Callithrix jacchus: one gene and its partners. The protein of the gene in region 1 purifies or fractionates together with the protein of each later gene. This does not show direct contact. Links are inferred from orthologs where the notes say so. Each region holds a gene or a part of one and is shown in the gene's direction. Other genes may lie near its edges. The genes, in order: PPP1CA, PPP1R9A, PPP1R37, PPP1R3D, PPP1R18, CAPZB and RASSF7.

What was found.
Region 2: the proteins of PPP1CA (region 1) and PPP1R9A purify together in Homo sapiens (affinity purification with mass spectrometry; 3 studies listed by BioGRID and IntAct, counting the BioPlex papers as one, with this or other methods). This does not show direct contact. The link is inferred for Callithrix jacchus from reciprocal best matches to the Homo sapiens genes PPP1CA and PPP1R9A.
Region 3: the proteins of PPP1CA (region 1) and PPP1R37 purify together in Homo sapiens (affinity purification with mass spectrometry; 3 studies listed by BioGRID and IntAct, counting the BioPlex papers as one, with this or other methods). This does not show direct contact. The link is inferred for Callithrix jacchus from reciprocal best matches to the Homo sapiens genes PPP1CA and PPP1R37.
Region 4: the proteins of PPP1CA (region 1) and PPP1R3D purify together in Homo sapiens (affinity purification with mass spectrometry; 3 studies listed by BioGRID and IntAct, counting the BioPlex papers as one, with this or other methods). This does not show direct contact. The link is inferred for Callithrix jacchus from reciprocal best matches to the Homo sapiens genes PPP1CA and PPP1R3D.
Region 5: the proteins of PPP1CA (region 1) and PPP1R18 purify together in Homo sapiens (affinity purification with mass spectrometry; 5 studies listed by BioGRID and IntAct, counting the BioPlex papers as one, with this or other methods). This does not show direct contact. The link is inferred for Callithrix jacchus from reciprocal best matches to the Homo sapiens genes PPP1CA and PPP1R18.
Region 6: the proteins of PPP1CA (region 1) and CAPZB purify together in Homo sapiens (affinity purification with mass spectrometry; 3 studies listed by BioGRID and IntAct, with this or other methods). This does not show direct contact. The link is inferred for Callithrix jacchus from reciprocal best matches to the Homo sapiens genes PPP1CA and CAPZB.
Region 7: the proteins of PPP1CA (region 1) and RASSF7 purify together in Homo sapiens (affinity purification with mass spectrometry; 3 studies listed by BioGRID and IntAct, counting the BioPlex papers as one, with this or other methods). This does not show direct contact. The link is inferred for Callithrix jacchus from reciprocal best matches to the Homo sapiens genes PPP1CA and RASSF7.

Annotation. Positions count from the first base shown.
Region 1 is NC_133511.1:124,477,355-124,481,538, reverse strand, and holds the start of PPP1CA (serine/threonine-protein phosphatase PP1-alpha catalytic subunit), read left to right. Parts: upstream 1-1,384; 5' UTR 1,385-1,481; coding exon 1,482-1,536; intron 1,537-2,066; coding exon 2,067-2,198; intron 2,199-2,354; coding exon 2,355-2,585; intron 2,586-3,308; coding exon 3,309-3,413; intron 3,414-3,811; coding exon 3,812-4,035; intron 4,036-4,118; coding exon 4,119-4,184. UniProt on the Homo sapiens protein: Protein phosphatase that associates with over 200 regulatory proteins to form highly specific holoenzymes which dephosphorylate hundreds of biological targets.
Region 2 is NC_133512.1:54,748,844-54,752,783, reverse strand, and holds the start of PPP1R9A (neurabin-1), read left to right. Parts: upstream 1-1,140; 5' UTR 1,141-1,217; intron 1,218-1,486; exon of another isoform or gene 1,487-1,595; intron 1,596-1,760; exon of another isoform or gene 1,761-2,042; intron 2,043-2,307; exon of another isoform or gene 2,308-2,514; intron 2,515-3,776; 5' UTR 3,777-3,940. UniProt on the Homo sapiens protein: Binds to actin filaments (F-actin) and shows cross-linking activity. Binds along the sides of the F-actin. May be involved in neurite formation. Inhibits protein phosphatase 1-alpha activity.
Region 3 is NC_133523.1:39,285,729-39,289,966, forward strand, and holds the start of PPP1R37 (protein phosphatase 1 regulatory subunit 37), read left to right. Parts: upstream 1-1,438; 5' UTR 1,439-1,591; coding exon 1,592-1,793; intron 1,794-4,238. UniProt on the Homo sapiens protein: Inhibits phosphatase activity of protein phosphatase 1 (PP1) complexes.
Region 4 is NC_133506.1:55,556,082-55,560,227, reverse strand, and holds the start of PPP1R3D (protein phosphatase 1 regulatory subunit 3D), read left to right. Parts: upstream 1-1,346; 5' UTR 1,347-1,738; coding exon 1,739-2,638; 3' UTR 2,639-4,146. UniProt on the Homo sapiens protein: Seems to act as a glycogen-targeting subunit for PP1. PP1 is essential for cell division, and participates in the regulation of glycogen metabolism, muscle contractility and protein synthesis.
Region 5 is NC_133505.1:35,482,941-35,486,995, reverse strand, and holds the start of PPP1R18 (phostensin), read left to right. Parts: upstream 1-1,255; 5' UTR 1,256-1,547; coding exon 1,548-1,606; intron 1,607-2,392; coding exon 2,393-4,025; intron 4,026-4,055.
Region 6 is NC_133508.1:56,290,987-56,294,486, reverse strand, and holds part of CAPZB (F-actin-capping protein subunit beta), read left to right. Parts: intron 1-3,317; coding exon 3,318-3,439; intron 3,440-3,500. UniProt on the Homo sapiens protein: F-actin-capping proteins bind in a Ca(2+)-independent manner to the fast growing ends of actin filaments (barbed end) thereby blocking the exchange of subunits at these ends.
Region 7 is NC_133511.1:131,332,673-131,336,719, reverse strand, and holds the start of RASSF7 (ras association domain-containing protein 7), read left to right. Parts: upstream 1-1,247; 5' UTR 1,248-1,336; coding exon of another isoform or gene 1,337-1,516; intron 1,517-1,681; 5' UTR 1,682-1,837; intron 1,838-2,565; 5' UTR 2,566-2,629; coding exon 2,630-2,825; intron 2,826-3,289; coding exon of another isoform or gene 3,290-3,882; exon of another isoform or gene 3,883-4,047. Other genes in the region: LMNTD2 (lamin tail domain-containing protein 2), read right to left, coding at 1-36, 412-567, 657-744, 1,095-1,247, 1,337-1,516, 3,290-3,882. UniProt on the Homo sapiens protein: Negatively regulates stress-induced JNK activation and apoptosis by promoting MAP2K7 phosphorylation and inhibiting its ability to activate JNK.

The DNA of each region.
Region 1 (4,184 bases):
TATCGTTCCAATTTTAGTATATGTTCTGCCGAAGTGAGCACAATTTTTTTTTTTTTTTTTTTGATACGTTCTCTCTCTCTGTCACCCAAGCTGGAGTGCAGTGGCGCCATCTCAGCTCACTGCAACCTCTGCCTCCTGGTTCAAGTGATTCTCCTGCCTCAGCCTCCTGAGTAGCTGGAACCACAGGCACGTACCACCATGCCCAGCTAATTTTTTGTATTTTTAGTAGAGACGGGGTTTCACTGTGTTAGCCAGGATGGTCTCAATTTCCTGACCTTGTGATCTGCCTGCCTTAACCTCCCAAAGTGCTGGGCTTACAGGTGTGAGCCACGGTGCCTGGCCAATTTTTGTGTTTTGTGTTGAGACGAGGTTTCGCCATGTTGCCCAGGCTGGGCGCAAGAGATCATTATGCCTCAGCCTCCCAAAGTGCTGGAATTACAGGCCTGAGCCACGATGGCCAGCCCACCTCCAGTTTTGAGGTTACTGGTGTGTAAAGCACCCAACTCAGGGTTCCAACAGTAATTACGGTTCATGTAATGTCTACTCTTTATAATTCTTTTTACGTGCACACCCTGCAATATTACTGTGCTACTCAAAGCTTATTATGGGGCCAGGTGTGATGGCTCAGGCCTGTGATCCCAGCCTGGCTAGCATGGAAACTCCCCGTCTAATAAAAATACAAAAATTAGCGGGCGCGGTGACATCCGCCTGTAGTCCCTGTTACTCTGGAGGCTGAGGCATTGTCATCGCTTTAACCCAAGAGGGGAAGGTTGCATTAAACCAAGGTCGCGCCACTGCCTTCCAGCCTGTGGGACAGAGCAAAACCCGCCTCAAAAAAAAAAAGCTAATTATGGGACTTATAAGAAAATATTAATTTAGCATGCCCCAAGGACCAAAGTGCGCTGGGAATTCTAGCTGTCTTTGAGTGTGGTCAGCCGCCTGGGGGCCACGGAGACCCACGAGGAAGGGGGTCCTCGGTGCAAGCGAGGTCCAGGTCTTGAACCAGCCTGTCGCTATGTCTTGAACCTCAGTTTCCCTTTCTGCATTTGGAGAAGTTAACCCTCAGTGCGGGGCAGCCGGTTATTAACGTGTTCACGACACCCTCCACCCAGGGCAGGGGTGGGAAGGGCTGTTCAGCTTTTGAAAGAGAAAAACAACTTCCACATTCCTTCCGGCCCCACATCCTCGAAACGGAGCTGGGCGCCTCCTCTCGGGCGTAACTAGCCTCGGCCCCGCCCCCGACAGACACCGCCCCCAGCCCGCCGCCGAGGCCCCGCCCCCTGGGCCTCCGCGCCTCACATCCAGCGGGGGCGCTAGAGCGCGGGGGGCCGGGCAGGGCGGGCCCGGGAGGCCCGGAGGCGGAGCGGCGGGCCGGGGGCGGACTGGGGCGGGCGGAAGGAGAGCCAGGCCGGAAGGAGGCAGCCGGAGGGCGGGAGACGGGAGCGGGCCCGGAGCTGCTGGACTGGAGCGGCGGCGCCGCCATGTCCGACAGCGAGAAGCTCAACCTGGACTCGATCATCGGGCGCCTGCTGGAAGGTTGGCCGGGGTGGGGAAGGTCCGCGTCCGCCGCGCCCTGGACCCCTGCCCAGCCCGGAAGTGGCGCGCGGGCGGGCCCCCGGGGCCAGCTTAGACTGGGCGGGGACGCGCCGCGAGGTTCCGTGGCCGCAGCCGCCCCCCCCCGCGGACGCGCCTGAGAGGTCCGGGGCCGGCTTCGAGGCGCGGAGCAGCCCCCTCTCCCCGGCCGGGGGCTCACGGGTTGCCTCGGCTCTTGGGGCGAGGGAGAAACCCGGGAAGCCCGGTCCAGGGAGGTGTCTTGCGCTGTGAGGTTTTGGGCGGCAGCCCCCTGCGCACGACAGTCGCCTCCCGAGCCTTTGAGGATAACTAGGGGGGCTTCCCTTGGGAGGCTTGAGGCCGACGTCCCAGGAGGCTCAGCAGCAACAGCTGCCTCTGGGCAAGGAGGGGCCGAGGAGGCCTAGGCGCCCCCGGAGGTATCCACGGGGCCACCGTGTCGCCCACCCTCCCCCTGTCTGAGAGGCCAGGGTCCTGACTCCGCATTGCGCCCCCAGTGCAGGGCTCGCGGCCTGGCAAGAATGTACAGCTGACAGAGAACGAGATCCGCGGTCTGTGCCTGAAATCCCGGGAGATTTTCCTGAGCCAGCCCATTCTCCTGGAGCTGGAGGCACCCCTCAAGATCTGCGGTGAGCAGCCCCCAGCCTCGCCCAGGCCCCTTTGGCTTCCTAAAAGTGGCACTGGCCCCCACAAAGTTCCTGGAGCCCTCCTCCCTTGAGCCTAGTCCTGGCCCTGGGTTCAAGTCTAGACCCAGCATCTAGCTTACTCGGTTCCATGGGTCACAGGTGACATCCACGGCCAGTACTACGACCTTCTGCGACTATTTGAGTATGGGGGCTTCCCTCCGGAGAGCAACTATCTCTTTCTGGGGGACTATGTGGACAGGGGCAAGCAGTCCTTGGAGACCATCTGCCTGCTGCTGGCCTACAAGATCAAGTACCCCGAGAACTTCTTCCTGCTCCGTGGGAACCACGAGTGTGCCAGCATCAACCGCATCTATGGTTTCTACGATGAGTGTGAGTGGTCTGAGCACCCAGGGTTGCCCGGGTCCCGAAACGCTCCTTGCTATTCAGTGGGACCCTCACATTGGCTTCGTATCTGACAGACACTTGCTAGACTGTGCGCTCCACGAAGGCAGGGCCCGCTCCATTCTCGTGCCTGCCCTGCCCTGCCTGGCACGGGGTCTGGGGCATGGTTGCTGACTGGAAGGCTGCTGGTATTCTGGTGCTTGCTCCCAGGGCCCTGCCTGGTGAGGCTCCACTTACATCTGCTACTAAGCACTTAGGATGTGTTTGCAGATGGGCTCAGCTGTCCAGAAGCTGAGATAAACCAGACCTGTACTTGGCCCAGCTTATGGGTGGGGGTGTTTGGGGAGTGCCAGCCCTGAGGCCGGTCCAGATTGGAACTCAGTTTTCATTGGACTTGGGTGCTTTAGAATTACTTCTGGCAGGAAGATCACTTGGACCCAGGAGCTCCAAGTTACAGTGAGCTATGATCTCGCCACTGCACTCCAGCTGACCCTGGGTGACAGAGCAAGACTGTTTAATTAAAAGTTAAAATAAAAAGTAAAGAGAATAGTTCCTGGAAGGCTGATAGGCTGCAGGGGCAGGAGTGGGGACAGGGGCAGGGTGCAGGGTGGTTTGCCTCCAAGCCTCTCTCCTCCCATCTGCGTCTGAATAGCCCAGGGACCCAGGTGGAGGGTGGGGTAGGCGGGCCCCTCACAGCCATCTCCTGGGCAGGCAAGAGACGCTACAACATCAAACTGTGGAAAACCTTCACGGACTGCTTTAACTGCCTGCCCATCGCAGCCATCGTGGATGAAAAGATCTTCTGCTGCCACGGAGGTGAGGGAGGGGACGGCTGGGGACAAGGAGACCTGGCCGCATCCCCCATTGCCGGGCCAGCTCTCCTTAGGTCTGTCTCATCTGGGAAGTCACTCCTTCTGGGAAGTGTCTCCCATACCCCTGTGCCGGGCTGCGCTGACTCCCTTGTGCATCCTACATGGAATAGGCTTGGCTTGTCTATCTCCCGGGAGCTCTGCGCTCCTGAGGGCGGGGACATCTTTGTGCCTCTTTGGGAACCTGCAAAAGCTGAGGGGAAGGGGATGACTTCTGCCGCCTGGGTGCCCAGGTGACCTGTGGAGGAATCAAGGGGGCAGTGGGAAAGGTGAGGCTGATTGGCCACAGCTTCCTGGAGTGAGGATGTCCTTGTTTGAGGATGTGGACTTCCCCCGGTCCCCCAGGCTTGTCCCCAGACCTGCAATCCATGGAGCAGATCCGGCGTATCATGCGGCCCACAGACGTGCCTGACCAGGGCCTGCTGTGTGACCTACTGTGGTCTGACCCTGACAAGGACGTGCAAGGCTGGGGCGAGAACGACCGTGGCGTGTCTTTTACCTTCGGAGCCGAGGTGGTGGCCAAGTTCCTGCACAAGCACGACTTGGACCTCATCTGCCGGGCGCACCAGGTGGGCTGGCAGCTCTGGCCTGGGGTGGGAGAAAGGGAGGCCAGTGCCAGCATGCAGAACTGACTGCTCTGGTCTGCACCCAGGTGGTAGAAGATGGCTATGAGTTCTTTGCCAAGAGGCAGCTGGTGACACTTTTCTCAGCTCCCAAC
Region 2 (3,940 bases), on another chromosome or scaffold:
CTTCTACAGACAGAACTCAGTGATTAGATTCTGCATTTATTTAGGTTATTTGCCTAAAAAACCTGGTTTCCATACTGCAAATAAATGACAAGAACTTTTCCACTAGATTATCCCAGACAGCACAAATGTTCTTTCCAAAAGTGGAGCCTGGAACCACAACCCCCTCACATTGCCTGTTACATCTGTTTATGCTTATAGAAGTGACATCCTCTTCATAGACAGAGAATGCCAGTTTCTTGGGAAAGGACCCAGAATTTGGTGACGCTTAAAGAAAAAATAAGCCCTCACTGTTTAAAATTAAAAAAATACATAGAATTGAGTATTGAGTAGCTACAAAATCCTTTTGAAATAAAAAGATTTTGCTACCAGATTATATAGAATCTGTGTACGGACTTGCCAAGGTTCATATCCAGCCATAATTATTCACTATTAATAGCTAATAGAGAAGTGGATACGTTATAAAATTTAAACCTTAGTTTATCCGTCAGTGAAATGGTGTTAAAAATAGTTATGTTGGGAAAACTTGTGAAAGACATTGAAATGAGCAAAAGATTACTGTTTGTCCTTTCAATGGAATGCTGGATCTTATCCACAGGGCTCCAGAGTGTTGTGAATTTAAAGTAGTCTGTACCTTAGAGTGACTTTCTCTAGGCTATTTTACTACTCAGTAAGCTGTAGAATCGTTTGGTAATATGTAAATGAATATTATCTACAGAATGCAAATTTATTTAGTTACTTTAGAGATACAACTGGTTACCGCCCTGTAAAGCAGATAATAAACATTTTACTGCTCTATAGAATATTAAGCAGCTTTGCCTCTTCTTGCCTATATGTTTATTCTTCACAGTCTCACATGAATGGGTTGTAGTATCTTGCTGAGGTTCCCTTTCTAACTAAGAGCTGTAAAAATTTTGACCCATGTTCATCTTATATTTCTTCCATTGACATGTTTTTACCTTCTTGAAAATTTTTTAAGGGTTCCTGCTCCTCAGGCTTTTTGGAAGGATTGGTTTAAAGATCTGTATTGACAGTCATGATCAGTTTTATATTTTGCAGGAAGGTGGTAACACTTCCGGTATTTGGGGGTGGAAGAGGGTGTACTAAGTGTTTAGAAAAGGGCGGGGGTGGGGGGCGTGGGCTGAAAAACTCTCCCTAGACAGAAAAGGCAGAAGACCTCCTCATCCCTTTCTCTTTGGCAGTGGGACCTTAAGGTCAAGGTGAGTAGCAGACCAGGCACAGTGGCTTAGGTGAAGGCCACTCTAGACTTGGGCCTATGTCTTGGCCTTCCTGGCCAGCAGAGTGGCCTGGGATTTGGATACCTTGGGGTCACGGAGTTAACTGCAGACTAAGTGAGGCCCCTGGCAGCTGTTCCCCTCAGAACCCAGTTCCAGAGCCAATACCCGAACCGGAAGCCGGCCTTGCCCCTAGGCCGGAGAGGCCCCTAGCCCACGGCCGAGGGGGTGGGGCGGCCTCGCCTCGGGCCGGTGCTTTTCGCCCTTACTTGGCCGCCAGAGGCTCCCTCTCTCTCCCTCTCCCGGGATTTTGCTGCCGGGCTCCCTCTCTCTGCGGCCCTAGAGTTAATCCCATCAGCCGAGGTGAGGCACCTGTTACCCCTGGCCTTCCTCATCCCCGCGGTCTCTCCTCCATGACACCGCAGCCTCCCTAGCTGCCCAAACGGCGTGGCGTGGCGACCACACGTGGCCCAAACCCCTTTCACGGCCGGCACCCGTGGCCCCAGGCCGGCCCAAGCGTGCGCGCGCGTAGCTGCCCGGGCCGCCGCCCGCCCGCAATGGCGTTGGGGAGCGCAGCTTGCCTCCCGGGGCCGCCCGCCGCGGGAAGGGAGCGAGTGGGGGCCAAGGCGCGAGTGGAAGCGGCCGCCGCAGCAGCCCTGCGCGCTGCGCCGTGAGGAACGGGTGGCGGGGCACCCAGCGGGCCAGCGCCGAGCCGAGTCGCCGCGGCCACCGTGGGGCGGGGGGCGCCTGCGAGGAGGGGGTGGGAGCCGTGGCGGCCCGACCCTCCCCGCCCGCGGCGCTCCCGCTCGGGTAAGGGGGAGGCTGTGCGCGAGGCGAGGAGTTGGGAGGGTGGAGAGGAGGAAAAAATCGGCTTGTACAAAGGCTGAGTTGCAGGCTGAGGGTGGGGGTGGGTGGTGGTGGAGGAGCAATAGGTTGAAGATCAGAGGCAATATCAGTGGGATCTATTGTTTCCTGGCACATTGGGAGGAAAAACAAAGGGATTTATTTTCATTACCCTGTAATTTCTTTTTCTTTCTCTCTCTCTCTCTCTTTTTTTTTTTTTTAATGTGGCCAGGGAGCTCGTCTCTCTCCCTGCCACACAGGGATCCGCCTGGCAGCCGCTGGTAGCCGCAGCCAATGTGTTAGGACTTCAGGTGCTTCTTGGCACAAAGCTAGACTGCGACCTCCTACCATAGCGCTTGGCGTCACCTGCTCTCCCGGTCCTGCCCCAGGGTCGAGGGATTGCGTCCCGAACCGGGCTTGGGAATCGGCTGCCTCTCAAGTTGGTGTTATTTATGTTTGTCTTTTGTGAGGGCAGGTTTTGAATCCCCCGGCGGCTCCATCGCCTCCGCCCCCGCCTCCTTGGGTTGGAATTGGCGGGGGAGGGAATGGGGTGTGTGTGTAGGGGAGAGGGGAGGGTGTTTGTGGCTTTGAAAAGAATGGTCAGGGTAAAAGGAAATTGTCGATGCTTTACAAAAAAAGAAAAGACAGGCACCACACTCCAAAGCCTTTCTTGTTTGTCTGCATGGGCCATGCATGCGCGCTGGGCCAGGAGCCGAGTTTGGAGACGGTTTAAGTGAAAGTGTGTGCCTCCTCAGCTGATTGTGCGTGAAGGTGATGTGGCTAGGTCTAATATCAAAACAAAACAAAAACAAAATGAAAAATCTTTAGATTGTCTGCTCCGCAGCGTATTTTGAGGTATTTGGCTGCTGGCTGATTGATGTACAATCCTGCTGTGGGCTAAAGGAGACCAGCAAACATGCATTGCGTTTTGAACTGTAGTAAGTTAGAGGCAAGAAAGAATAAACAAATCAAGGCTGTGGAAAGAGATGTCACAGTATATTTGCTTTCTGATTGTCACATTCTTATGCGTTTATTCCCATGGTAGTCTGCATCCCACTCCATAATTAATAACCACTGTTAGGAAACTTCCAAATACTTGTTATAACTGAACTTAGAGTGAAACTTATTGCCATTCAGGAACTTTTTTTCTCCTTGTTTTGGTCTGAAATTACATTAGTATTGTTTTGGAGATGCTGTAGATGAGAATATTGGAGCAGAAAAAGTGAAATAAGCCTCTGTAGGCATGTTTTAGAGTTTGTAAACAGATTCCAAACTTAATTGTGCTTAGAAAGAATAAGTTCTACTTGATTGTGGAGAATCCTAAGTGAAGTTGATTTTCTGGACAGTTTGATGATTTCTTAAAGATTGATGAACTGCTGGTTTCTTTTAAGGGTATTCACAAAAGCGACCAAACGTGGGTTTAAAGTATTGCTTATGTGTAACTTTGTGTGTGTGTGTGTGTGTGAGAGAGAGAGAGAGAGAGAGAGATTTTGATAGGGATCTCCAAAATGTATTTGAAACCTTTTTTACCAAAGACCAATCAGAATGATAATTTATTGACTTTTAACTTCCCATTTCAATGAGTAATCTCTTCTGTTTGACACGTAGCTAAGCCATTTGGAAAATAAATTATGTATTACTTGACTAGATATAAATTGAAATAAGTAAATGAATTCAGAAATTCATTCTTTTCTATTGCAGATGAACCCCTAGTTTTGCTTTGAAAAAAAAAACATTTTGTGTAACTCTTGACTGTGACTAAGTTCCTAATACACCTGTTGGAACGATCTCTGACACAGTATACCGTTTGAGAGGTACTTTTTTTGACCCAATACTGGTTATTAAAGAAGAGAGGTATCTTGGTT
Region 3 (4,238 bases), on another chromosome or scaffold:
GTAACCTTTCAGTGCATTGTTTAAAAAGAAAGCCGTTTCTGCCCCCTTCTGCAGATACTTCAAGTTCAGGATGTAAGCGAAGCCTACCATTAAGTAAAGGTTAGGGTCGTTTCGTCTCAGTCGCGAAATTGCGGCGGCCGATGATGAACCGCGCCAGGAGCAGCCTCAGCAGCCATCCGTGGGTTCGGGACGCCGGCTCCGCAGAGGCCCGGACCTAGCTCTTAAGTTGCCTTGGCAACGACGCGGCTCGCTCCGCCCCAGTTTCCTTTTATGGTTTCAGCCCCGCCTCTCCCGGGTTGCCGGGTGCGCTAGGGAAAGCGTGGCGAAAGTGCGGCGGCGAATGTCAACCGTTGGGCCTGAGCCGGAGGGTGTGGCTTGAGCTCGCCCTAGTTCGTTCTTGCCTCGGTGACCCACCGGCCTTGTCACTCAGGATTTGGGTTGGCCTTTGGAGTATCTACCTTCTCCTAGGTTTAGTTTTTAAAAATCGCCCATGATACTGCTCATGGGCTCCTATTTATTTTAGCATTGTAATTTAAGTTGTATTTTATGCAACTCTACCTAGGTACAGAGAGCTGTTGATGTTAACTGCGGTGACTAGCCAAGGGGCCGAGGCTTTGTCTCCAGAGGATCCCTATCTGTCAGCATCCATCAACTGTACTTGTATATTGAATGCAGTTCCTATCTGCCTTTTGTTTCGACTTCTTCATGCCGTTACCCACTCTTCATCAGTCTAACCTCCATGTTTATATTTATTTCCTTTTGTTGAGCGAGCCTTTTCCCGGGTCTTGCTCAGTCTCCCAGGCTGGAGTGCAGGGGCGGGATCCTAGCTCCGTGCAGCCTCAACCTCCTGGGCTCAAGCGATTCTCCCACCTCCTAAGCAGCTGGAACTACAGGCGCCCGACACCAGACCCTGCAAATTTTAAAATATTTTTGTAGACGGGGCCTCGCTATGTTGCCCAGGCTGGTCTCGAACTCTAGGACTCAAGCGATCTTCCTGCCTCAGCCTCCCAAAGTGCTGGGATTATAGGCATGAGCCGCCGCCGCGAACCATCAGATATTTTCATTTCTATCCACTCCATTCCCTGGGCTCTTGACGAATGTGCGGAGCTGATATTCGTTATCTGGACTCAGGCGGGGAGGCGTGGGCTTAGCTTCGCGCTTGCGCGCTGCTCTTGGAGACGGCGTCTACTTCGCCCCGCCCCCATGGTCTGCAGTTCCGGCTCTGCAGATTCGCTGCTCACGTTTTTTTTTTCCGTGGCCCTTTCTGCCTTTTGTTTCCCTCTTCATGTCACCTGCGGGACAACTCGACCTGCAAGTCACTTAAATCGGTTTTCTGCGTCTTTTAGTAAGCGACGGGCTCGCCAGCCTCGAGCGAAAGTGTGACTGCGAACGGGCAGGCGCGCGCGGGGCTCGGCGGAGGCGCGCTTGGGCTCCCGGCGGCGACGACTACGACGACGAGGAGAGCGGACGGAGGCGGCGCCTGAAGCAGTGGCGGAGCCCATGCCCCGGGACGGCGGGCGGGCCGGGAGAGACAAGTCCGGGGCCCGGGGCATGTCCCCGGGGCCCCCGTGAGGAGGAGCCGGCGGCGGCTATGGAGATCCCGCCGCAGGAGGCTCCGCCCGGGCCGGGCGCAGACGACGACGTTGAAGAGGCCCCCGTTGAGGCCGGGTCTCCCAGCCCTGCCTCGCCCCCCGCGGATGGGCGCCTCAAGGCTGCAGCCAAGCGCGTCACGTTCCCGTCCGACGAGGATATCGTGTCTGGTGCAGTGGAGCCCAAAGACCCCTGGAGACATGGTAGCTACTGCGGGAGAAGCGGGGGCGGGCTCGAGGGGGACCCGGGGGTCGGGAGGGATCGGTGCAGAGCCCCGTTCAGAGGTGGCGTTCAATAGATTGCACCTAATGGCTAATTAAGGGGACAGTCGTCAGTTTAGAGTCGGAGGCTGTTAGAAGGTGGCCGTGGAGTTGGGAAGGTGAAAAGTATCTGGTTTCTGCCGCACCCCACCCACCCGAGACAAAGGAGGTGATCGTTTTAGGGTTTAAAACGATGAGCATTAAATAAAGTTTGGTGGTTTGTCAGATGGGGAGGGTGGCAGCCTTTGCGTTCGTAGTTCTACCAGAAAAGGAGAGCGAGAGCAGTAAAGGGAGGAGGAGCAGGTCAACACTGGCCCTGAAAGGGCAGTTGTAAGAGTTTGCTGGGTCTCTGAGGCTAAAAAGAGGTTAAGTTGCTGGTCTGCAAGCCTCGGGGCAGGGAGTGATCGTGTTGGTCACTTTCTTGGCTGGAAAGAGGAAGAATATAAACCTGAACTGTGACTGTGGAGAACTTGGTAAGCTCCCAGAAGAGGAGCAGGGCTGGTGGTCAATTTGTGGTTAGGTAAGGGAGTCAGAGGCAGTGTTGTTTTTTCTTTTTATTGTGATGATATCTCATTATGTTGCCCAGGCTGGTCTTGAACTTCTGGATTCAAGCGAGCCTCCCGCCTTGGCCTCCCAGAATGTTGGGATTACAGGCGTGAACCACTGCCTCCAGCTGCAGTGTGGTGTTAAGAAAAGCCAACGGCAGAAGGAAGGCTGTCAGTCGTTCAGGAGCAGAGGATGTTTGGGGCATGACTGTGGAAGGGTCTTCTTGTTCCTTCCTGAGAAAGAATGAGCCAATACTGGATGCATTGGCTCATTCCCATAATCCTAGCACTTTGGGAGGCCGAGGCAGGTTGATCACTTGAGGTCAGGAGTTCAAAAGCAGCCTGGCCAACGTGGGGAAACCCTGTCTCTACTCAAAATATAAAAATCGCCTGGGGCATGATGGTGTGCCCTGTAATCCCAGCTACTTGGGAGGCTGAGGCAGGGAGAATGGCTTAAACCTGGGAGGCAGAGGTTGCCGTGAGCTATCACAACATTGCACTCCAGCCTGGGTGACAAGAGCAAAACTCTGCCTCAAAGAAAAAAAAAGAATGAGAGGATGTTATCAAGTCAGGAGCTAGAGTTGCTGGCTATTAGCAGGTGAGAGAACTGAAGAAGTTTGACCACTTGAGGTGTTGGGAGAGGGGGCAAGCCCACTGAAGAGGGTCAGGTCAGTGTTGGAGCTGAAAGGAGTGTATTGGAGCCATAGGGCTGGGAAGGTGGAAGTTGCTTGGGAGATGCAGGGCAGTGTTGAGTTCATTTCGTGCTGGAGAAGTCTGTCAATCCTGCTAGGGTGGAGCCCATGAAGTGAGGGATTGGACTGGCTGTGGTTCTCTAGAAGCTGATCTCCTGGCCCAGGGTAAGGGGAGAAACTTTTGCCGGTCTGTGGACAGTGGAGGAAGTGGTGGCTTTGATGTGAGGGTGGGAAACGTGGTAACTGGAAACTGAACACACAGGGAGTCCATCATGAATGAGTTTGGTTACTTCTTCTTATTATTGTTTTAGATGGAATCTCCCTCTGTCGCCCAGGCTGGAGTGCAGTGGCATGATCTCGGCTCACTGCAACCTCCGCCTCCTGAGTTCCAGCAATTCTCCTGCCTCAGCCTCCTGAGTATCTAGGATTGCGAGCGCCTGCCACCGCACCTGGCTAAAAGTGTTTGTATTTTTAGTAGAGACAGGGTTTCACCGTGTTGGCTAGGCCAGTCTCAAACTCCTGACCTCAGGTGATCTGGCTGGCAGTGGTTAAATTAAGACTTTTGGGCTGGGTGCCATGGTTCATGCCTGTTACCCCAGCACTTTGGCAGGCCAGCGTGGGCAGATCACCCATGCCCAGGAGTTCAAGACCAGCTTGAGCAACAAGGTGAAATGCCATCTCTAAAAAAAATAGAAAAATTAGCCAGGTGTGGTGCATATGCTTGTAGTCCCAGCTACTTGGGAGGCTGAAGAGGGAGGATGACTTGAGTTCAAGAGGTTGATGGTGCAGTGAGCTATGATTGCGCCACTGAATTCCAGCCTGGGTGACAGAGATCCTGTCCAAAAACAAGAAAAAAAAAAGAGACTTTTGGCACTGGGAGCCAGCCAAGTCCTTGGGCTCTACGGCCCAGGGAGAGGTGGTTAGTTTGGGACCAGGGCACAGTCAGAATGGCCCCTGGCTATAGCATGGTATCCAGTTCAGAGCAGGAAGGGGAAAGACCTGGAGAGTCAGAACAGGGTGGTTCAAGAGCAGAGGCTCCAGGTCAGAGCCTTCGAGACCTCAGACTGGTTACCTAGCTCCTGAGCCTCAGTTTTCCCATCTGTAAAGTAGGTGGTAATACTCTCACCATGGGATTTAGGAGAGGGCTGGAT
Region 4 (4,146 bases), on another chromosome or scaffold:
ATTTTCCATATATTCATACATATTACTTATTCTCTCTTTGTGAAATACTGTTGACCCATACCACAGATATCTGTTATTCCCCTCCCATTTTGAGCGGCCTGTTAAAAGTGCGCTGAATGGAAATTGGATATTTCTCTTTCCCATATCACCTGTCTCTGTAACATAAAAGAGATGTGACTATAGATATTTTCTTCCTGAAACTTTCCTGTATTTTTTCCACAATAACCATGTAAGCCTTTTTAGTTAGCTCACATCCGATGATAAATAAAATCACTCTCTCACATTTAATGAATTATACCACAATCAACAAGCTTGACTCATTTTAGATGTAGAAAATGTTCTTTAATATAACCCCCTTCCTTAGTCCTTTTTTCTTTCTGCTTTGTCCCTCTGGACAGGAAAAAGGAACCTTCTCAGTGGAATGCTTGGCCCCAAACTGCTCTCTGGAAAGTGGACCTGGATCTTTCTCACTCATTTCACCTGGTTAAGATTTACACCAAAGTCTGTGTGGGGTTTTGTGCTCAGAGCTACCCGGTGAGAGACACGAAGGCTTGCAGGGTTCTAAGGATGCAGAAAACGAGCTCCAGGCCTCGCTGGTGTTTCCGGCTTGCTTGGAAACAAAGCTGAAAGTCGGAGACTCTGTCTACAAATCTGTTCCCCAAGCGCCAGAGGCTGATTAAGGGCAGCTGCGGAAGTCATCACCGGGTATTAACTCTGGTTGCCCGTCTTCCTCTCCGGCGTTGGGTCCAGGAAGACAACAGCAGCGCCTCAAGTCCCCACCCTGCGGGGAATCTGTGGGCCTTTCGGGGCGGCAAAGCATTGTGGGTGATGCGGACAGGAGGCTGCTCCTCCACGCAGCGACGCTCCCGCGGTCTGGCCAAGGGTCTAGGTTGCAGTGAACCCGTCCAAAGTGTGGGCTAGCCGCGACGTTTACAATTAGCCCGGGGCCAGCTGCTGGCAATGCCGGTGTTTGCACCCCCGCTCCCCACGCCACAACCCAGAAATCTAAGGACACGCAGCATGCATTTTCCTTGTCCTCCGTTTGTGCAGACAGGGTCTGGGATCGATAGGCGCGCGGTCCAGGCAGACGTAAACAGACATTGATCAGACCTGTTTCGCGACTGCAGCGCACACGTGACGAGGCTCCCAGCCTTCCTTCGTCTCCGGCACCCGCGCGGCGAGGCCTGGCTGCGGCGCGCTGCGGCAGTGGAGCTGGAGGCGGCGGCGCGCAGCTCCACGGAGCTCTCAGGCCCGGCCCGGGCTGGCGGGGGCCCGCCTGCAGGTGGCGTCACGAGGGGCGGGGCGGAGGCTCTCTGGGAAGTTGCACCCGGTCGAGTTGCAGCCTCGTAAGTAACGCCACCGACCGGGAAAGTGGGAGGGGCCGCTCCCAGAACGCAGCCTTCTCGTAAGAACCTCCAAGGAAGCAAGAAAAAAAAAAAAAAAAAGAAAGAAAGAAAAAAAGAGGCGCTACCCTGAGTTCCCGGGAGGCTTCTGAAAGCTTCCACTAGAGAAGAGCTCGTCTCTTAAAATTTCTTAAACTGCAAGAAGCGGAGGACCCGGGCGAGGACTCCAGGGGCAAGGTGGCGAACAAGAGTAGGGCGCGCCGGGCCCCAGCGGTCCCCCGTAGGTTGCAGACACGGCGGACTCTCGGCGGCTTCTGAGCACGGAGGGAGCTGTCGCGGGGTCGGGAGGCATCCCCTCATCCCTGTCTCCCCATCTTCCGACGGCCGGCGGGGCCATGTCCAGAGGCCCGAGCTCCGCAGTTCTGCCGAGCGCCCTGGGATCCCGGAAGCTCGCCCCCCGGAGCCTCAGCTGCCTGTCGGACCTGGACAGCAACGTGGCTCTGGAGCCGCCGCACTGTAGGCCCCCGGGGAGCCCGGGCCGCGCGCCGCCACCCACGCCGGCGCCGTCGGGCTGCGACCCCCGCCTGCGGCCCATCATCCTGCGGCGAGCGCGCTCGCTGCCCAGCTCCCCCGAGCGCCGACAGAAGGCCGCGGGCGCGCCGGGCGCTGGGTGTCGGCCGGGCTGCAGCCGGCAGCTCCGCGTGCGCTTCGCTGACGCCCTGGGCTTGGAGCTGGCGCAGGTGAAGGTGTTCAACGCGGGAGACGACCCGTCGGTGCCGCTGCACGTGCTGTCGCGGCTTGCCATCAACTCGGACCTGTGCTGCAGCAGCCAAGACCTGGAGTTCACCCTGCAGTGTCTGGTGCCCGATTTCCCGCCGCCCGTCGAGGCCGCCGACTTTGGCGAGCGCCTGCGGCGGCAGCTGGTGTGCCTGGAGCGTGTCACTTGCTCGGACCTTGGCATCAGCGGTACGGTGCGCGTGTGCAACGTGGCCTTCGAGAAGCAGGTGGCGGTGCGCTACACTTTCTCGGGCTGGCGCAGCACCCACGAGGCGGTGGCGAGGTGGCGCGGGCCCGCGGGGACTGAGGGCGCAGAGGACGTCTTCACCTTCGGCTTCCCGGTGCCTCCCTTCCTGCTGGAGCTCGGCTCCCTCGTGCACTTCGCTGTGCGCTACCAAGTGGCTGGTGCCGAGTACTGGGACAACAACGGTGGCCAAGACTACAGCCTCACGTGTCGCAACCACGCGCTGCACATGCCTCGCGGGGAGTGTGAAGGGAGCTGGATCCACTTCATCTGAGCCGCGCGGGGCCACAGCCTGGAGCCTCCACACTTAAGCAACGCCTGCTGTCATTCATTTCCCTGCTGGGCCCTCACATCTATCTGGTTGTTCTTCGCCACCCTGCAAGTTCTCTGACCTCATTTTCTGCTGCGAGGTCCCCCGGCAGAGGCCCATCCTGTCTTCTGCTTGAAATGTCTGAGTCACTTGGTCTAAAAAGCAGCCTCAGGTGGCCGGAAGGCCGAGTTGACTTGTGTAATGAGTTGGGGCACGGTGGTGGGGTAGGTGCATGGGAGGGTGGGCCCTCTGGGGAGGCCCAAGCAGCTTGTTTTGGAAAGGCCCCCTCCTGCTAGGAAGAGCTTTTGCATGTGTCCTGAATGTGTCTCTGTAAACATAGCTGTTATTTATTATTGTGATGTTGGGACCTTTAGCTCATAGCGAATGCCTCCTCAGGAATATTCTCGATTTAATAAGCTAAAAAAAAGGTCTGTTGTGTGTTTGTGCCCACAGTAAACAATGTACAGTGTGACCCACATCATGGTCCCTCCAGGCATTCCTGCCCCACGACAAGGAAAACCTGAGACCACATCTGCTTGCCAATGGGCTGTAGCCTTCTAACAGTGGGAAACTATTAATAGGCAAGAAATTATCAGTCATCACACAACCATTCCTGGGCACTGAGACAGCCCTGGTGGGGCTGTGTGTCTCTTAGGTTAACAGCTGGGGAGGAGGGGAAAAGCTTCAAACTTAAACTAGCAAAACAGTTCTTTCTCTGCAGTCACAATTCTGATTTCATGTATTTCTCTGTTCAGGCCATTCTGTTTAAGTCTGAAACTTCCTAAACGTTTTAAGAAGTCTTGCCTTCGTTTTTTCAATTTTCAGGTGACTAGAGAATTTTAGGCAACAGTGCCCTTTTTGACCATTAAGGTGATTACCTTTTTGACCATTAAGGTGACTCTTTTTATTTCTTGTTAAGCATCAGAGGATGTCAGTATTTATCTTTTGGGAATCCAGTTAGAAGGTGGAACTAGAAGGTGTTTTCAGCAATAGCCAGAGCACTAGAGAAAAATAATTGATAAATATTTATACTTGTAAATTGTTTGGAGCTGTATTTACATATGTCATGTTTTATCAGGTACCCACAAACTTTATACTTTGTGCCTTCAAATAGGGTTTCTAACATGTTCTAGATTTGTCAGTTTTAAAATATTAAATTCTTTTTTGTTTTAAACCTTCAGCCAAGAAGTCAAGACCACTGTGCCCTCCTGGGTTAGGCAATCGCTTAAAACTCCAAAGAACTCCAGGCTGATGGTTCTTTTGGTGCTGAACAGTGGTCTCTCTGATTACAGGTGCTAGAACTAAGGTGTGAAAAAAAAAAAAGCCAAGAAGGATCAGATCTCCAGTTTGTGAAGTGTGTTTGTGATACAGTTGAAACCAGTGTGATCAATTTTATGATACTGTCACCAGGGAATTAATTCTAAACTTTTGAATGCTTGTTGGCATCTGTCAAATCAATACCGAAAGGACAC
Region 5 (4,055 bases), on another chromosome or scaffold:
GTTTCAGCCACTGAACTCCAAGAGTCCACATCTCACCAGCAAGGAAGAGCAGGGTATGGAATTCATCTGTCTCCTCACTGTTTAGGGCATGGCATGCTCCCCTTCAACAGTCTCCTAGAAGGAAAGGATCTGCCCTGACCATTCCGCTGGCGGGCACCATTGCTTCTCTCTGTGCCTCTGGGATCCCCCTCCCACTTCGCCACCTCTGGCTTCCACTCCGAGAAGCTGGACCAGGGTCTGCAAGTTCAAAGGCAGTGGCTGTCCCTCCAGGCCCCACACCTTGCCTCAGCACTCCCGGCCCTAGTGTCTGCACCTCCTTAGGCCCTGCCTCTGAACCTAGTCAAGAGGATTCTCCCGTTCTTAACTTGGGGCTTCCTGTTCTGGATGCTCTGCAGGAAAATAAAAGCCTGATTTTTCTACGTACTGCATGTAGTCTGTCAGTGTCTCCCAAGCTGCAGGGCTGAGTTTGGGAAGGAAAGCCAGAGGGAGCCTGCGAGCCCGCGAAGTGGAGTCTGGGCAGCCACCACGCCCTCTGGCAACCGCTGGCCTTCGACCACCGCGCCCCCGCTGACCCGCCCCCACTTTGCCAGAGAGGCCGGGTCCCCATTCCTTCAAATCCCCTTCCCCCACTCCCCAACCCCGCAGCTGACCAAGAGACTCATGGGAGGCAGGTTGAAGCTAGAAAGAGTGGGGACAGCAGCTCTGGTAGGAGAACGAGCTTCCAAAACTGCTGGCTTCTGAGCGCCTCTCCTGCCGCCCCCTCCTCAAGGCCTCCTGGTGGCTGCCCTCGACCCGGCAAAAACAAAGACTGGCCGGAGAAGGCAAAATCGCGGGGAGGGCTGAGAGGCAGGAGATGGGAAGGGCGGGCCCGGCTCCTAGCAGCTGCCGCTTCCTCCCAAAGTCCCACGAGGGGCCTGAGTCACGGGCCACCGCCCTGGGTCGGCGAGCTGGGGGAAGGGATCTGGACACCTGGGTTCTTCAGGGCTACCGGGAGGGAAGCGGTTGAGGGCCCCTGGGGACACAGAGCAGAGGACCAGGGGTTGGGGCGAGTAGGGGGCAGTCCCAGAGCCAGTCCCACGCGCGGTGGGAGGGAGCCCCGCCCTCCCCTCGGGCTCCGCCCTGCGCCCCCTTCCCTCTCCTCATTGTCCTTAGACAAAGCGGTCGCCGCCCCCGCCCGGCCCCCTGATCTCTGTCTCCGTCCCTCCTCCTTTGCTGCCTCTTTCCCTCCTCCTCTCCCTCCTCCTCCCCTCCCTCCAGTCTCCGGATCTCCCTCGGTCCCTCTCTCCTCCTCTTCCTCTCTCTGGACGCCCGGCTCCTCCGCACCCCCTCCCAGGGGGGCCCCACGGCGTGTGAGTTGACTGAGGGGCTTAGACTTGGGGAGGGGGTGTCTCCTCGCTCCCGTCCCTGGCCCGGACCTTGGCTGTCTCCTCTTTGTGCCGAGATTGTCAGTCTGTGCAGCCAGAGCGGGGTGGAGACAGCTGGCTCTGTCACGGCTCCATGAGAGCGGGGACCGGGCATGGGACTCGCAGGCGCTGGAGAGAAGAGGCATGGAGCCGGCCCTCGGCACTCCGGGGTCGCCGGGCGCAGACGGCGGGGGAGGCAGGCGGTATTGACGGGACTGGGTGGGGGTGGATACCAGGGTTCTGGGAACGCGCTGGCAGCCCCGACGCCCGGGTTCCGAAAGTCCCGGGGTGGGTATTTCCCCCGACCCGCCTCGGGGGCGGAGTGCGGGGCAGAGGGGTGGGGGCTGGGGAGAGGCGTGGCCCCAGCGGCACTGGAAGCGGAGCAGGGACCTTTGGGGCCCGCGCTGAGACGCTCCCGGCCGCTACCGCCGCGCTCCCTTCCCCTCTTCCCTGGTTTCCCTTCTCCCCTAGACCTGCTCGCTCTCCGCTCCTCCCTGCCTCCTCGACACCCCCTCAGGTCCCGTTGCCCTCCTCGGGAGGGATTCCCGGTCCTTCCTTCCCACACTCACCTCCCTGGGGTATCGCTGAGGCAGCCAGGCCTGCACCCGGGTTCCCCTCATCCCTGCCCCTTTTCTCTTTTCACCCTCATAGCAACTTTTCTTTTCTCCCATTCTCTGTTTCCCACATCCTAGAGACTGTCTTTAATACGCATTAACCCTGTACTGCCACATCTGGCTCCTGTCCTCATTGCCTCCAATCTGGACTCTTCCTCTCACATCGCCCCCACCACCCCCAACTTGGGCTCATAACTTCTCTTCACTTTTTCCATTTCCCCTGTTCTCTGCCGTCCCTCTTTCCCTTGGTCCTCATCCTCAGCTCCTCTGCCCTGCTCGTGGTCCCACCTCTCCCCCTCCACTTCCTCCCCTCCCACCCTCAGTCTCACTCCCTGGGCCTCTCTGGAGCCTCTTCTTCCTGTTCTCTGCCCCCAGTGCTCCCTACCCTCACCTCAAGGCGACCATGACCACCATCCCAGACTGGAAGCTACAGCTGTTAGCCCGGCGCCGGCAGGAGGAGGCGTCCGTTAGAGGCCGGGAGAAGGCAGAACGGGAGCGCCTATCCCAGATGCCAGCCTGGAAGCGAGGGCTTCTGGAGCGCCGCCGGGCCAAGCTTGGGCTGTCCCCTGGGGAGCCTAGCCCTGTGCCAGGGACTGCAGAAGCCGGACCTGCAGACACAGATGAATCTGCGGTCCTTCAGGAGGCCATCGGGCCAGTGCACCAGAACCGATTCATCCGGCAGGAGCGGCAGCAGCAGCAGCAACGGAGTGAAGAGCTGCTAGCTGAGAGAAAGCCTGGATCTCTGGAGGCCCGGGAGCGGAGACCCAGCCCTGGGGAGATGCGGGATCAGAGCCCCAAGAGAAGAGAGTCAAGAGAAGAGAGACTAAGTCCCAGGGAGACCAGAGAGAGGAGGCTGGGGATAGGGGGAGCCCAAGAGTCGAGCCTGAGGCCTCTGGAGGCTCGGGACTGGAGGCAAAGCCCAGGAGAGGCGGGAGACAAGAGCTCCCGACTGTCAGAGGCACGGAAATGGAGGCTGAGTCCTGTAGAAACTCCAGAGCGGAGTCTGAGACTAGCAGAGTCTCGAGAGCAAAGCCCCAGAAGAAAAGAGGTGGAAAGTAGACTGAGCCCAGGGGAATCTGCCTACCCGAAGTTGGGCCTGACAGAGGCCCATAAATGGAGACCTGACTCCAGAGAGTCTCAGGAACAGAGTTTGGTACAACCAGAGGCAACAGAGTGGAGGCTGAGGTCAGGAGAAGAAAGAAAAGGCTACTCAGAAGAATGTAGGAGAAAAGAAGGGAGGCCAGTTCCAGGGGTGGCCCCAGAAGAGACTACAGAGCTGTCAGAGACCCTGACAAAGGAGGCCCAAGGCAGCAGTTCTGCAGGAGTGGAGGCTGCAGAACAGAGGCCTATGGGAGACAGTGAGAGGGGCATGAAGCCAACAGAAGGGTGGAAATGGACCCTGAACTCTGGGAACGCTCGAGAATGGACACCCAACGACAACGAGGCTCAAACTCAGAAACCAGAACCTCCAGAGTCAGTGGAAAAGCGTCTGGAGCCTCCCGGTGTGGAAGCTGGAGAAGGGGAGGCTGAGAAGGAGGAGGCGGGAGCTCAGGGCAGGCCTCTGAGAGCCCTGCAGAACTGCTGCTCTGTGCCCTCCCCCCTCCCACCAGAGGACGCTGGGACTGGAGGCCTGAGACAGCAGGAAGAAGAAGCAGTGGAACTCCAGCCCCCACCACCAGCCCCTCTATCTCCCCCACCCCCAGCCCCAGCTGCCCCCCAACCTCCTGGGGATCCCCTCATGAGCCGCCTGTTCTATGGGGTGAAAGCAGGGCCAGGGGTGGGGGCCCCCCGCCGCAGTGGACACACCTTCACCGTCAACCCCCGGCGGTCTGTGCTCCCTACGACTCCCCCAGCCACCCCAGCCTCTCCAGCCACAGCTGATGCTGCAGCCCTGGGGGCTGGGAAGAAGCGGTACCCAACTGCCGAGGAGATCTTGGTTCTGGGGGGCTACCTCCGTCTCAGCCGCAGCTGCCTTGCCAAGGGGTCCCCCGAAAGACACCACAAACAGGTAGGGGAACAGCCGAGCCAGACTTCTTAG
Region 6 (3,500 bases), on another chromosome or scaffold:
CTGCTAGTTTCTGAGTTCCAGTTTAAATGTATGTTTCTCTGGCGTTGGTTAGTACCTGGCATTCAGGCTGTCAGAAGTCCCGGCACAGAGCACAGATCTTCATGGGTGGTCTGTGTCCCTGCAACTCATCGACTATGTTTGACAAATGAACAGTCTTGGGCTTTGCCTAAGGTTCTGTGGCCAGCTCACAGCAGAGCCACTCTCAGGTCTCTTAGTTCTCGTTCCTTCCACCATTGCTGTGGCTCATTGAGGTCATATATTAATAAAAATGCCAGGGCTTTCACGACAGCCCCAGGTCTCTCTGTGTAGTGCTTTCTCACCATACCATGGTTCGTATCTGAGAGTGCCTGGTTGGAACCACACATGAAACTTGTCAGCATCCATTCAAATTGAGTTCTGGACAAGTGCTTTTGCTAAAGATTCCTACCTGTCAATTTATTAATTTGAAAATAAAGTTGATTGGAGTTTGGGAGGCTCCATGTTGTAAAACTCCTCCTTTCCTCCCTCCTTCCGTCCCTTCCTCCCAAATATATTAAGCATTTGCTGTATGTCAGGCACTGCCACAGGCACTGAGAATCCTGCGGTGAGTAAGATCGAAGTTTTTGCCCAAGTAAAACTTGCATTCTAGTGAGGGAGACAGACAACTGATCAATGAAAAATTACTCCACCTGGTGTTAAGTGCTAGGAAGAAATTAGCAGATGCTTTTGATTCATAGGTTAATCTCTTGGATAGGAGTAGAATCAAGCCTCTTTTATGCCAACCCCCATTTTCTTGTGAGCTTTCCTACGTTGGGGGGACTCAGCTGCAAGCAGCATGCCTGGTGGGAGAAGGGAAGCAGCTGGCTCCAGGTGGGGTCGAGGCACTGGATCCTCACAGGTACATTTGTACCCCATGTCTGAAGCAGCACAGTGAACTGAGGTACGATCGAGGCTGCTGTTGACATCTGAGAGTAACAGGTGACAGATGATCTTGTCTAAAGGAAGAGAGAGGAACCTGAATATGTCAGGCAATAACATGCGACCGTTTCCCTGTGTCGGACTCTGCCCTGAACACTGAATTCATTACCTCATGTGGGTCCTTAAAATCACATGGGATATCCAGACGGGTTGGTTTTATTATCCCCACCTTACAGGTACAGAAACAAAGTCTCAGTAGGGAAGTAAAATGACTTCCCTACTGAGGTTCCTTATGACCCAAGGCCATAAGGCTGCTTGTACGCAGTGGAGTCAGTAAGTCCAACTTCAGACCCTATTTGCTCAGTCTCTGCTATAATTCAGGATAAACTGGGCTGATTGTGTCAGGACTCCAGCCAGAGAGAATGGGTTCCAGGCAAAAGTTGAGGCCCAACAGACAAGCCAAGGCAACAGCCCAGCATTATAAATGGAGATGCTTAGGGACAGGTATGATGTGTTAGGCGAGGCAGCAGGCACATAGGTGCCCAGGGGTGCTTCACTGGCAGTGGCAGCACGGCATGGCCTCTTCCAGGTCCCAGTTGCCTTGGGTGGAAGCTGTTAGACCTTCCTTTTCTCAGCCAGGACTTCCTTCCAGGTGAAGGGCTCTGTGGCCACCCCTGAGCAGGGGTGGGGCTAGGAGGGGGCTGTTTGCCACCAGAGTGTGCCTTTGGCATACACTGTCCTTCCCCTTTGCTGGACATTAAACCAAAGTTAGAGTGGGAGGAGTAGGGCCTTTGGACTCATATGGCCCTGGTTTTGTTTTCTGTCTCCACTGCTTGCTTCTTGTGTGGCCCTTGGGTAACTCAGTGACTCCGGGCCTCAACTCTAATCTGTAAAATGGGGCTTTACATACCCACTTTGCTGAATGTGTGTGAGCTTTCAAGTCAATGACATGCTCTATGTAAAGGGCCTAACGTAGTTCGTGGTGCATGGCACGCACATGGAAATGGTAAGGGGCATGATATATCACCAAAACCAACTTGGAAAATAGCCCCCATTTTGTTACGTTTGTTTAGAAAGGGCAGATACACCTGGAAAAAGAATTCTGAAAACAAGCACAGGTACAGGCCAGCCCTAGGCCTCACACCTATAAGCCCAGCACATTGTACACAGAGCTTGGTGGTGTATGTCTCTCTCTTTGAGTGCTGTACCCTGTGCAAGAAACAGATCGTCTCACCACGGCCAGAAATTCTATGGGTTACGAGGCAGGGTTACAGTCCTTTCTTCAGTTGTGCTGGATATTGCTTTCCAAGCTGAGTTCTAAAGCACTCTGGAGGGGTAGCAGAGGAGCCCATGGAGGCTGGGTAGTCTCTGTGGTGGTGGGGCTCCCTGTCCCGGTGTCTTGGACGGTGGCAAGGGCCTTCTGGAAGAACACAGGAACCACCATGGCTGTCACCCTCTCTGCCGAGCCGCTCTGCTGGTGTCTTTGCCGTGCAATTTAACTTTTCCATTGGGAAGAGTTATTGGTGCAGTTGGCAGGCGCTTGCCTGGTAAACGATACAGTGGGGCCCCCATAAACCCAGGCCCATGAAACAAATAAGTCAGCACATTGAAAATATAGCATGGAAATGACTCAAGCCTGAAGGAATCCATTTCTGAAAGTACTGCCATCCCTTTCTGGGACATTTTGGTGGAAATCGATGTTTGAGTTGGGAGGAGGAGGCCCGTGGCCTGGTTACTTGCAGAGCCTTGTGTCAGAGTCGCAGCACTGGCCCAGGGTGTAAGTCCTGGCAGCCCCCGACCACGGGGTCATCCTTCTCGGTGAGGCGGCCCCCTGGCAGGCCAGACAGGGGTGAGCCCAGTGGGGTTCTGTGCTGTGGGAGCCGGGGTGAAGCTCTCTTTGCAGTAGAGAGAGTTGACTCTACGAGCCAACTGGTAACACTTGGCTAGGGGCCTGGAAAGTACTGGAAACTCCGCCCAGCATGGGAGCCTGTGGGAGTTCTCCGGCACGGACGAGTTATTCTTCTCTGAGTTCTTTAGATTCCTGTGTATTTGAAATGCTTACCTTCTTCTCAGGACTTCGGCTTGTACTTTTCCCACCAGAGACCAATACTAAGCACATACACACTTAAATTTACTAGGCCACCCTGGTGACCAGGTAATTAAAGCTGCACACCCGTTTTTGGAAGGAAGACTGTATTAGAAATCACGCTCCACTGTAATTCAAGAATGGGCTTCTTTATAGAGGGACACAGTTGGTGTCAGACACACATGGAAAAGAAAAGAACAGGCCCGTGATCTTGGCTCAGAACCCAGGGCCAGATGTTAAAGGTTCTGACCGTAACACGGCTGCAGCATGTTACCACCTGAGTTTGGCATGCTGTTTTAACCTCTGTTTCGACCTTGTCCTTTCTCTCTGCCAGGTCCCCAGTCTATGTGAGGATCTCCTGTCTTCTGTTGACCAGCCACTGAAAATTGCCAGAGACAAGGTGGTGGGAAAGGATTACCTTTTGTGTGACTACAACAGAGATGGGGACTCCTATAGGTGAGCTCACGCCCCGGGGATACAGCAGGCGCAGCAGCCATTTGCGGGCTGCCGTGGGTGC
Region 7 (4,047 bases), about 6.9 Mb from region 1:
GGCAATGCTGTTCCAGTCTTTTTCCAGCCGAAAGCCCTGGCCAGGAAACAAGAGGCACATTTCCTCCCAGACCACACACGTGGCAGGCCTAACTCACCTCCCCAGTGGGGGCCTGAATGTTCTCAGAGAGGTCACTTGGGTCCATCAGAGTCCCTGCCATCACCACCTGCCAGAGGGGACCAGAGGCCAGTGGGCAGGGACTGGGGCGAGTGGCACCCTCCCCCACAGCACCGCTCCTCTTTGACCACACCTGTACTTTGAGGCCTCCTGATTCCTCCCCGCTGGAGCCTGGAGTTCCAGAGGCAGCCTGAGCCCGGCAGGCTTCCAGGCAGGCCAGGGCCCCCAGCAGAGGTACCCAATGGGAGGGTGAGGGCTGGGGAGGGTGGCTGGGGCAGCGGGGCTTGCGCTCACCTCCACACTGCCAGTCTGGGATTGCAGCATGCGGCCCACCCACGAGGAGCGGGCTAGCTGCAGGAGGCAGGACTTCTGGAAGTTCTGCAGCTCAGCCTCTACCTCCTGGAGCCTGCGCGTGGTCTCCAGCAGCTGCTCCTCCAGGTACTCCTTCTCCTGCTCCAGGAGGGCCTGTGGGTGAGAGGCCAGCCCTGGCCTGGCTCCCAACACCAGGACCCCGCCCACTCCCTGTGCCCCCACCTCACCCACTGGGCTTGCTCTTTCTGTTCCTTCAGCTGCAGGGTCAGCTTCTGGACCTGGCTCTGCAGGAGCCTCTCCTGACTGTGGGAGCTCCTGGAGGAGGGATGACCTCAGCAGCCCCCAGCCTGCTCGTGCAGGCGTTCTTAACACCAGGTCAGTGGTGAAGGAGGGGCACCACGGCCATCTTGGCCCCAAGGGCAGACAGTACAGCTGCACTGGGGCCGGCCAGCCACCCACGGGTCTGGGCAGGGGCCTGGCACCCATCCACATGTGCAGGGCTGGGGTTGAAGCTGCAGTGTGTTAGCTTAGGGTCAGGGTGGAGGGTCGGCGTGGGCAAGGACAAGGGAAAGGATCTGACTCGGCGGTTGGGGTTGGGGTCAGAAACCAGGAGTCCGGGCCAGGACAGGGCAGGGTTGGGTTGGGCTGGATGCTGTGCTTCAGACCTCTTGGGCGGAAGCCCCGCCACCTCCTGCAGGATGTGCCAGAGCCGGGTGTCCCGGCCATTCCGGACCGCCCACCGCAAGGCCTGGATCTCTAGTTCTCGCTGCCCCCACAGCAGCCGCAGCGTGCGAGGATCCAGGGACTCAGGAGCCAACCTGCAGTGACAGTGTCCCCCGCTTCTTGCTCAGGCTGGGCCCCAGCCATCTGGCCCAGGAGCTTCACCACTTTTCCCTCCCATCCTTACTGCGGGTTGGCAGAGCAGGCCACCCGTGTCATGGAAGTCGCAGAGGCTGCAGGTGTGCCCGCTGGAGGTCCCAGGTGACCACTGACCGACTCTCGGTCTGTGGAGGACGAGAGAGCCTCCTCCTTGGCTTCTTCAGCCCCGGGGCCAGACTTGGGAGCCATTCGTGATGTTCTTTGGGAGCTGGGAGGAGTGGGGGGGCCAGGTCTGCTGGGTGTGCTTGTGTGGCCACATTGGGGCCGCCCAGCGGTGGCTATTTGAGGAGCCCCAAAATGGGTGTCCACACTTGTGTGTTTCTGACCTTTGCCAGTGACGTGGTGTCCTTCTCTTTCTCTCTGGTCTCCCCAGCTCAGGACCCCACCCCCAGCACTCACCTGAGGCCAGAGCTCCAAGCAGGCCTGGGAAGGAAGGGCTCTATACCGTTGCCCTGGATACCAGCACCCAGAAGGGGAGGGGCTGTTTGTTACCTGGAGGCTCCAGGGAGACCCCAGACCAGGCCCCTGGGTGAGTTCTGAGCCAGCCCAGGCTGGAGGAGGTGTGAGAGACTGAGCCACTGCTCAGCTTGGGGTGGCGGGGAACCACTTAGTGGCCAACACCCTCAAACTGAGGGAGGCCTCAGCACCCCCTACCCAGCCTGGTGGCAGCAGTGTGACACATATGGGGCATTGCTGCCTGTGAGCCAGGCCAGCATAGCCATGGGTACGTGGGGGACAGGAAGCAGACAGGTAACAGTGACAAGCTGGGGACTGGTGAGGGCTAACTTACAGTAGTACACCCCACCCACAGCCTCTTTTTAAATTAATAATTATTTTTATTTTTATTTTTTTTGAGGCGGAGTTTCGCTCTTGTTACCCAGGCTGGAGTGCAATGGCACGATCTCGGCTCACCGCAACCTCTGCCTCCTGGGTTCAGGCAATTCTCCTGCCTCAGCCTCCTGAGCAGCCGGGATTACAGGCCGCGCCACCATGCCCAGCTAATTTTTTGTGTTTTTAGTAGAGATGGGGGTTCACCATGTTGACCAGGATGGTCTCGATCTCTTGACCTCGTGATCCACCCGCCTCGGCCTCCCAAAGTGCTGGGATTACAGGCTTGAGCCACCGCGCCCGGCCAATAATCAATTTTTTAGAGACAAGGTCTTGTTTTGTTACCCAGGCTGGAGTTCCTTGGTGTGATCCAGCTCATGGTAACCTCGAATTCCTGTGCTCAAGTGGTCCTCCCACTTCTGCTTCCAGAGTTATTGGGACTACAGGTGCCTGCCTGCACCGCCAGGCCGGGCCCACAGCCCCTTCGACCTCAATGACCAGCACTCACCCGCAAGCTGGAAGCCTCACCTTTTCCAGCCATCTCCACACCCTCTGGGCCACCCCCAGGGACCCCTTTGGGCATTGCCATTATCATGACAAGTATTCCCTCTCCTCCTGGACAAAAGCGAGGCCAGACCTGACCCAAGCACTCCAGCCTTCGCCCTCCATCTCTGCAGCTTGTCGGCTGGGTAAGGCCTCCCTAGAGGAGCACAGGAGACAGGCCGGCAGGAGGCCCCTCCACGCCCACAACTCGTTCTGAGCTGGGCAGAATAGGCAATGAATGGCGGACCACGAGGCTGCGGACCCCGGCCGGGACAGCAGGGCAGAGGAGCGGCTTCCAGCCGGCTTCGCTATGCGCCAGGCCCGGCCCCGGGTCCTAAAGGGCAGGCAGGTGTCGGGGAAGAAGAGCCTCAGCCCGGGCCCCGGCCTTCTCCCGAGCGCGCACCTCCCGCACCAGGGCTCGGCGCCCACCAGCCCCACAGGGCTCCACGTCCCTAGCCGGGGACTTGTGACCTGCTAGCCTGAGACCCCTGCGCGTCCAGGCGACGGCGGCTGCGGGGGCCGCGAGGGGCGGTGCTGGCCCCGCTGCCCCCGAGCACAGGTGGGGTTTGCGGGAGCCCAGGCCGGCGACCCTCCCTGGGCAGGAACCCACCACACTGGAAGGCGGCTGAGGAAGTCCGCCCAGGAGCGGGGCCAGACACCTGCCCCGACGCGCCGCCCGGGGGGCCGCAGCCGCCGCGTTTCCGCGTACCTCGCAGGATAGGGGATGGGGGCCGCATCTAGGCCCCGCCCTCTGGCCCGCCCACACCTGGAGTTTCTGGGGGCGGGGCGCGGCGACGAGCCAATGGGGCGGGGAGGGGCGTGACGGAGGTAGCCAATGGACGAGGGCTGGAGGGCGGGACACCCGCGCGGGTAAGCCAATAGGGGTGCTGGAGGGCGGGGCACGCGGGCCGCGGGCCAATGGGGGCGCGGGGTCGGGGCGCGCCGCGGCGCTGGGGGCGGCAGGTTGCGGCGGTGCCCGAGCGGGTCGCGAGGCTGGCGAGCGCCCAGGTGAGCCGCGTCGGGTCCCGGGGCCTTCCGAGTGCGGGGCTTGCTTCGAGCCGGCCGGGCACCAACTCCAACTGGGGAGCGTTTTCCGCGAGGCCCGGGCGGGGGGCCGAGGGCGGGGGCGTCGCCGCACCTGCGCCCACCCGACGGAGCTGGGACGCCCGGGCTCCCGCCAGGCTGGGGTTGTGGTTCGGGCATCGGTGCCCGCGGCGGAGACCGGGAACTTCGGGGCGAAAGGAGCGATTGGGCGGCGGGGCTCCCTGGGTTGGCGGAGGCTGCTCAGACCCGGAGTCCGCTGGATGCGCGGGGTCGAGGTCTGGGTCGCGACCCCGAGCGCCGCTGCGGCCTGAGCGGGTCCGGGTG